2 linked regions of the Kluyveromyces lactis genome follow. The protein of the gene in region 1 purifies or fractionates together with the protein of each later gene. This does not show direct contact. Links are inferred from orthologs where the notes say so. Each region holds a gene or a part of one and is shown in the gene's direction. Other genes may lie near its edges.

Region 1 (4,342 bases):
TTACGGTCTGATTGCTCGGAAGAACCCATATTAATCTCCTTAGGTAAATTCTGTAATAGTGTCTGCAAATCTGCAGCAGTCGTACTGTAGTTAAGCATCTTGAAAAGAACCACCACTGCAAACACCAACGGAATTGCAATGGTGGCTATCCTTCTCCAGTTATTTCTCTTGCCCTTGGCCATCTTCACACGGATAGCGCAAGTTATGAACCACTAATCAACACCAGGGCTCCCGCTCGTAGTGATATACCGTTGAGAGTCTAGCTGATGGAGGAATAAGTATGTATTGTTTATCATTGATAATACCATTTCCATAGTTGAAACACTCATTCTTAAAGAAATTCATTACCCGGATATATAATTTACTATACTTTTACTATACCTGGTTTCGATCATGCAAATAACGATGGATCCTCCACTTTGAAGCTCGAGATCATGTCCCGAAGCAACGAATAGGACGCGTGCACCCTTTGAGGTAGCTTTTCCGGTGAGTTTTGCGCAATTGCCTGTTCCATGGCCTTCAGTTCTTGTTCCGATGAGATAGGCACGTGAACAGAAATGATGACGTCGGTATCGAATTGATCCAACCTGAGCAATGCAACACACATTACTACGGTTTCCTTCATCGATTGTTTGCCCCACTTGTATGCGGTCTCAACAACGATACATGTCTGTGATTTGAGTTCCGTTTGCTCTTGATGGTCAATTACTGTCCATTTCTGTGATCCGTTGAGTTCTGAAATTTCTGCCAAATGGATATCTAACGCTTTTCTGTCATTATTCTCTTCCACACGCTGCATTAGGTCTACGATCACACTTTCATCGAACCCGAGCCCATCCTCACTAGGTTCATTCTCACGTCTGCTATTCACGAACACTTCCTGTGTGTCTGGTACTTGCCTTAGCATTGAAGCATCAAGAAACGTCTTGGGAATGACGGTGCTGATGGCACCGCCGTACAATTCTTGTCTGATCCAATGGGACATGGAAAATTAGATATATAGGGTTGTCAGACTGTGGGTAGAGTAAACAATCGCGCTGTCCTTGCCAGTCGAAGTCTCTCCCTCTCTCTTTATCTCTTGAGAAGGACATCTCGTCTTCAAGGTAAGGGAAAATCAAATATCACATTTGACGAACATTCAAATATTATGTGGTGTGCTGGTGTAAATGCATTTATTGTATGCAATGATGGCTTCAAGCATGCCAAATGGGTTTAAATCAAGTGATTACTGTCTCGTATTAATTAATTATTTACGAAACAATTTATATGGGCTCTTGGAACCATACTATCACCTCAAATGCTTCACTTTCTGTCGTATTGTATTCGAACATCTTCCATTCATATCACGTGACTGAAAACTCAACCACTCACGTGACCGAACCCAAAGTGGCAAAAACCGAATTAATAAGGCCAACAACCTATAAACAACTACAAACCAGTTTCCTTAAAACAACAATAGCAACAAGAAGTGAACCGTTCGTTCATTTTGATCACATTGCATCACAAGTTAGTATCAGATATGACGAATATTAAGGTTGATGGCGAAGAAATTGACGAGAGCTTGTACTCTCGTCAATTGTACGTATTAGGTAAAGAAGCGATGTTAAAGATGCAACATTCGAACGTTTTGATCATTGGGTTAAAAGGTTTAGGTGTCGAGATTGCCAAGAACGTTGTCTTGGCCGGTGTTAAGTCTTTAACCCTTTATGATCCAAGCGCTGTCGCTTTACAGGATCTTTCTACGCAGTTTTTCCTGTCAGAACAAGATATTGGGCAAGCTAGAGATAAAGTATCACAGGCAAAATTAGCCGAATTAAACTCATACGTGCCAGTGAAGGTGCTAGAGGGGCTAGAAGACGTGTCACAATTGTCTGAATTCCAAGTAGTTGTTGTGACAGACACGATTTCACTAGAAGAAAAGGTGAAGTTGAATGAGTATACACACTCTCACGGTATCGGTTTCATTTCTACGGAGACCCGTGGGTTATTTGGTAACGTTTTCGTCGATTTAGGTGAAGAATTTACCGTTATTGATACTACTGGTGAAGAGCCAAAGACAGGTATTGTTTCTGATATCGAGTCGGATGGTACAGTGACCATGTTGGACGATAACAGACATGGGTTAGAAGATGGCAATTACGTCAAATTCTCCGAGGTGGAAGGTCTTGAGAAGTTGAATGATGGTACTCCTTACAAGGTCGAGGTGTTGGGTCCGTTCGCATTCAAGATTGGTTCTGTTAAGGATCTTGGTACATACAAGAAAGGTGGTCTGTTCACCGAGGTCAAGATGCCACAGAAATTAACGTTCAAGTCTTTAAGGGAATCTTTGGCAACACCAGAGTTCCTGTACTCGGATTTCGCCAAATTCGAGACTACTGCACAATTACACTTGGGTTTCCAGGCCCTACATCAGTTCCAAGTTAGACATCAAGGTGAATTGCCAAGGCCATTTTATGAAGAAGATTCTAATGAATTAGTTAAACTCGTTATAGATTTAGCTACACAACAACCTGAAGTGCTGGGTTCTGAGGGGAAAGTTGATGAAAAGCTCATCACAGAACTAGCTAACCAAGCAAGAGGTGATATTCCAGGTATCGTTGCTTTCTTCGGTGGTCTGGTTGCTCAAGAAGTGTTAAAGGCCTCCTCCGGTAAGTTCACTCCTATTAAACAGTACATGTATTTCGATTCCATCGAATCTCTACCAGATTCTGAAGATTTCCCAAGAAATGCAGATACCACGAAACCAATCAACTCTCGTTACGATAACCAAATTTCCGTATTCGGTTTGGAATTCCAAAAGAGAATCGCAAATTTGAAGGTATTCCTAGTGGGTTCAGGTGCGATCGGTTGTGAGATGCTCAAGAATTGGGCTTTACTAGGTTTGGCTTCTGGCCCTGAAGGTAAAATTATTGTTACCGACAATGACTCAATTGAAAAGTCGAATTTGAATCGTCAATTCTTGTTCAGACCAAAGGATGTCGGCAGAAATAAATCTGAAGTTGCTGCTGATGCTGTAAGTGCAATGAATCCTGATTTGAAGGGCAAGATCGAGCCAAAGATTGACAAAGTTGGTGCTGAAACAGAGAATATTTTCAACGATGCTTTTTGGAATCAATTAGACTTCGTTACCAACGCATTGGATAATGTGGATGCTCGTACCTATGTCGACCGTCGTTGTGTGTTCTACAAGAAACCTTTACTAGAATCGGGAACATTGGGGACAAAGGGTAATACACAAGTGGTTATCCCTAACCTGACAGAATCTTATTCATCTTCAAGAGACCCTCCTGAAAAGTCAATCCCATTGTGTACATTGCGTTCATTCCCTAATAAGATTGATCACACTATCGCTTGGGCCAAATCCCTATTCCAAGGCTACTTCTCTGACGCAGCTGAAAATGTTAACCTATACTTGACGCAACCAAACTTCGTAGAACAAACTTTGAAACAAGCCCCAGATGCCAAAGGTATCTTAGAATCAATTAGTGATTGTCTAAACAATAGACCTTACAACTTTGAAGATTGTGTCAAATGGGCAAGATTAGAATTTGAAAAGAAGTTTAGTTATGATATCCAACAGTTTCTTTACAACTTCCCTAAGGATGCAACAACATCCACCGGGGAGCCATTCTGGTCTGGTCCAAAGCGTGCCCCTGAACCATTAGTCTTCAATATCGAAAACCCAGATCACTTCCACTTCATCGTTGCATCTGCTAACTTGCGTGCGTTCAATTATGGTCTAAAGGGAGATGATGGTAAACCAGACATTAACTACTATCAATCCGTCCTATCAAAGCTTATAGTTCCTGAATTTATTCCAAAAGCTGACATCAAAATTCAAACCAATGACGATGAACCAGATCCAAACGCGAACAACCAGCTTGGTGGCGATGTCTTAGAAAACTTGGCAGCTTCTTTGCCAGATGCTTCTACCTTAGCTGGTTTCCAACTAATCCCAGTTGAATTTGAAAAGGATGACGATACAAACCATCATATTGAGTTCATTACTGCTGCATCGAACAACCGTGCTCTAAACTACTCTATCGAACCAGCTGATCGTCAAAAGACTAAGTTCATTGCTGGCCGTATCATTCCTGCCATCGCTACAACCACTGCTTTGGTTACAGGATTGGTCAACCTAGAACTATACAAAGTCGTCGCTGGAAAGACAGATATTGAACAATACAAGAACGGGTTTGTGAATTTAGCTCTTCCATTTTTCGGTTTCTCAGAACCAATCGCATCACAAAAGGGTAAATACAATGATAAGACTTTCGATAAAATATGGGATAGATTCGATATTCAAGGTGATATCACATTAAGAGAGTTGATTGATCACTTC
Region 2 (3,224 bases), on another chromosome or scaffold:
AAAGCGATGAATAGATTGAGCGGTGCCTATGATGTTGACATTCAAACAACCTGATTTAAAATTTAAAGGAATGATTTGAAAATTAATTCTTTGCTTATTGAGAAGATGGAGATGGGTTCATCTTTCTCTTACCGTTGGTCAAAGTAACGTTGACGAATCTTCTGGTGTACAATAATCTCTTGTAAGCTCTACCCTTTGGTTGCTTTGGCTTTTCTTGCTTTTCAACCTTTGGAGTTTGAGACTTAACCTTACCAGCACGAGCTAGGGAACCGTGAACTTTACCCTGTTAAGATAATTCAAAGATCAAATTTGAATCAGTTGTTAGTAAAATAATTCCAATAACCAAAATTTCATAGGTAAGTTCTGAACCTATTCCTCTTCTTCAAAAAGAGAAACTGGCATAACTTCTTTAGTTGGATAGACTTTCAGTGTTATGAACAAGATCTCTCAGTATCTATCGTTGAATTTCCTATTTCCAGATAAGCTCCCTTGATTTTCTGCCACTATAGTACTATATTTCTATGGTGCCCATAAGTAAAAAAAACACATATCATTGATGCTCTTTCCAACGAATGAGAGCTTCACTTTCAACTCATATATGTTTTGATATCTTCGAACTATGATAATGTGTTCGACACATACTTCTGGTACTAGTATTTGCCACTGATCTTACTGGTGTTTCTGTCCTTTATCCCATTATATTTTCTTAACTCCTTATTCATTAATGATTTGTGCCTTCTTATCTTGCTATTTTCGCATTCTTGTTTCATAAACGCTCGCCAGTCCAACAATATATTACACAGTTAACGTACCATTTTGTCTGTAGTTTGTTCTGCTTCTTTAATGTAATCAAAAAGAGTGGAGATTCAATAAACCTTTGCTATGTCTAATCTTATGTACAGAGTACATTTCGACCTTCAAATTCATTACAAACTAAGTTTCCATAAGTTTGACCTCTAAGCTCCTCACAAACTGCTGAAACTTTTCTAAAATATACAGCCAATAATTTCCCGTTTAGGGATATTTCGGGTGTTTCAGATATTTTTGTGTAATATGACGTTGGATGTCTGGATGTATTTCATGAAGAGAATTATAATGGTGTATGGATGTTTGTTGGGATCGAAGACAGTCCTCTGTATGTTCCAAAAGAATGATCCATGCCATTTCACGTGACTTAGACTTGGGGATCATCATTTGTATTACAAGTAATAATTAGTCAATACGAATATTAAATATTTAAATGAAATGATTAAACGATGGATCAAGCAAGTTGCCGTCTTGTTGACTGCAATTTAACAGATTTAAGACCTTAGCAGTATATTACAAGGCCGCCAGTCCGTGAAACTCACATTATATTACCAATGGATAGACCTCAATCGAACTACTTTGGTGCTGGACCAGCACAATTACCATTGCCAGTTTTACAACAGGCTGCCAAGGATTTGATCAATTTCCAGGATGAAGGTCTGGGTATTGGTGAAATCTCTCATCGTTCTAAGGCTGCTGCTAAGGTTATTACCGATACTAAGGCTCATTTGAAGGAATTGTTTGCAATTCCAGATACCCACGAAGTTTTTTTCTTGCAAGGTGGTGGCACCACGGGGTTTTCATCCGTTGCATCCAACTTGTCTGCAGCTCATTTCGGTAAGACCGGTGAGGTAGGTACTGCAGCCTACCTGATCACTGGTTCATGGTCTGAAAAATCTTCTCAGGAGAGCGAAAGGTTAGGTGTTCCAACGGAGGTTATCTTTAATGTGAAGAAAGACAATGGTAGATTTGGAACTATCCCAGAATCAAGCACTTGGGTCCAGAAATTGGATGCTAAGAAGCATTCATATGTGTATCTTTGTGAAAATGAAACAGTTCACGGTGTTGAATGGCCAGAGCAATTGCCTCGAGAATTGATTGACTCAAAGGTTCCTATCGTCGCGGATTTATCCTCTGACATTTTGTCCCGTAAGATCAATGTCGCTGATTATTCCTTGATTATGGCGGGTGCTCAGAAAAACATTGGGTTAGCAGGGTTGACCTTGTACATCATTAAAAAAGACATACTGGATGACATTGCAAAAGTTTCTCCAAAGCAATTGAGGGATGCTTCTCTACCAGTCTCACCAATTGCCACTGATTATCCAACTGTAGTGAAAAATGACTCTGCTTATAACACCATTCCTATCTTCACCTTACATATCATTGACTTAGTTTTACAACGCCTATTGGAACAAGGGGGAATTGAGAGCCAACAAAAAGAAAACGAGGAAAAAGCTAAGATCTTGTATGAAGCTCTAGACAAATTCCCAGAGTTCTACAATCTGCCAGTAGACAAAAAATACAGATCAAAAATGAATGTAGTCTTCACCATTAAGAAGGACGGTTTGGATTCTAAATTTTTGGAAGAAGCTACTAAGCTAAATCTAACTGGGCTCAAGGGTCACAGATCAGTAGGTGGGTTCAGAGCATCTTTGTACAATGCTGTTGAATTGTCTAGTGTTAAGCTGTTAGTCGATTTTGTCACCAAGTTTGCAGAGAACAATCAATGATCGTGATCAGTTTAACGATTTACATTTACTTATGTAATAAATAATTTGACCCTTCTCCTTATTGTTTTCATCTCTGTCAATGCCTCTTTCCAAAGAGCAATGGAAAACACAAGAGTCATCGTGTGATATCACTAGAACGACTTCTTCAAATGATTCATAAAGTTTAGAACAAACTTTCCAATCACGAACCCTTACTATAACCTCGTGACCTTTCAACTTGTCTTGTGATTGCCTAGCAGAAGCGTTTTCTAGCATTGTTGAATGTCGATCAATGGATTTTCCGTGTATACCAGTGTCCAAGACATCACTGTCCTCAATATGCATTTCATTGCATGCTACCGGTGATGGGGATGACTCTGCATTTGTCTCACCGTTGTGTCGAAGCGTATCATCTCTTGGATCAGAGTGTGAATCATCACCTTCCATATCATTGAGCATTGCATCTAACGGGCCTTTCCATGCGATGTTAAGTTTCCAGTCAAATTCATCAACAATTACCTTCAGTGAACCCTTTTCGCCCAATTGTTCGCCATGTATCTTGAGTGTATTGACATTTCCGTATCGTTCTATTCGCTTAAAAAACGCATTAAAACCTGGACCCCATTCACTTACGTGACTCGGAAGTTGTAACATCAAAATCCCCACATAATTAACTGTTGGTTCTACTATCTTCTCGTCTTGAGC

Evidence for each region.
Region 2: the proteins of UBA1 (region 1) and SER1 purify together in Saccharomyces cerevisiae (affinity purification with mass spectrometry, with the first as the bait; 3 studies listed by BioGRID). This does not show direct contact. The link is inferred for Kluyveromyces lactis from reciprocal best matches to the Saccharomyces cerevisiae genes UBA1 and SER1.

Annotation. Positions count from the first base shown.
Region 1 is NC_006038.1:1,252,833-1,257,174, reverse strand, and holds the start of UBA1 (E1 ubiquitin-activating protein UBA1), read left to right. Parts: upstream 1-1,519; coding exon 1,520-4,342. Other genes in the region: HOC1 (alpha-1,6-mannosyltransferase), read right to left, coding at 1-182; Ran GTPase-binding protein MOG1, read right to left, coding at 392-985.
Region 2 is NC_006039.1:438,224-441,447, forward strand, and holds SER1 (O-phospho-L-serine:2-oxoglutarate transaminase), read left to right. Parts: upstream 1-1,361; coding exon 1,362-2,540; downstream 2,541-3,224. Other genes in the region: RPS30A (40S ribosomal protein eS30), read right to left, coding at 95-283, 813-815; MEC3 (Mec3p), read right to left, coding at 2,547-3,224. UniProt on the Saccharomyces cerevisiae protein: Phosphoserine aminotransferase (PSAT) is a pyridoxal 5'-phosphate-dependent enzyme involved in the second step of the phosphorylated pathway of serine biosynthesis.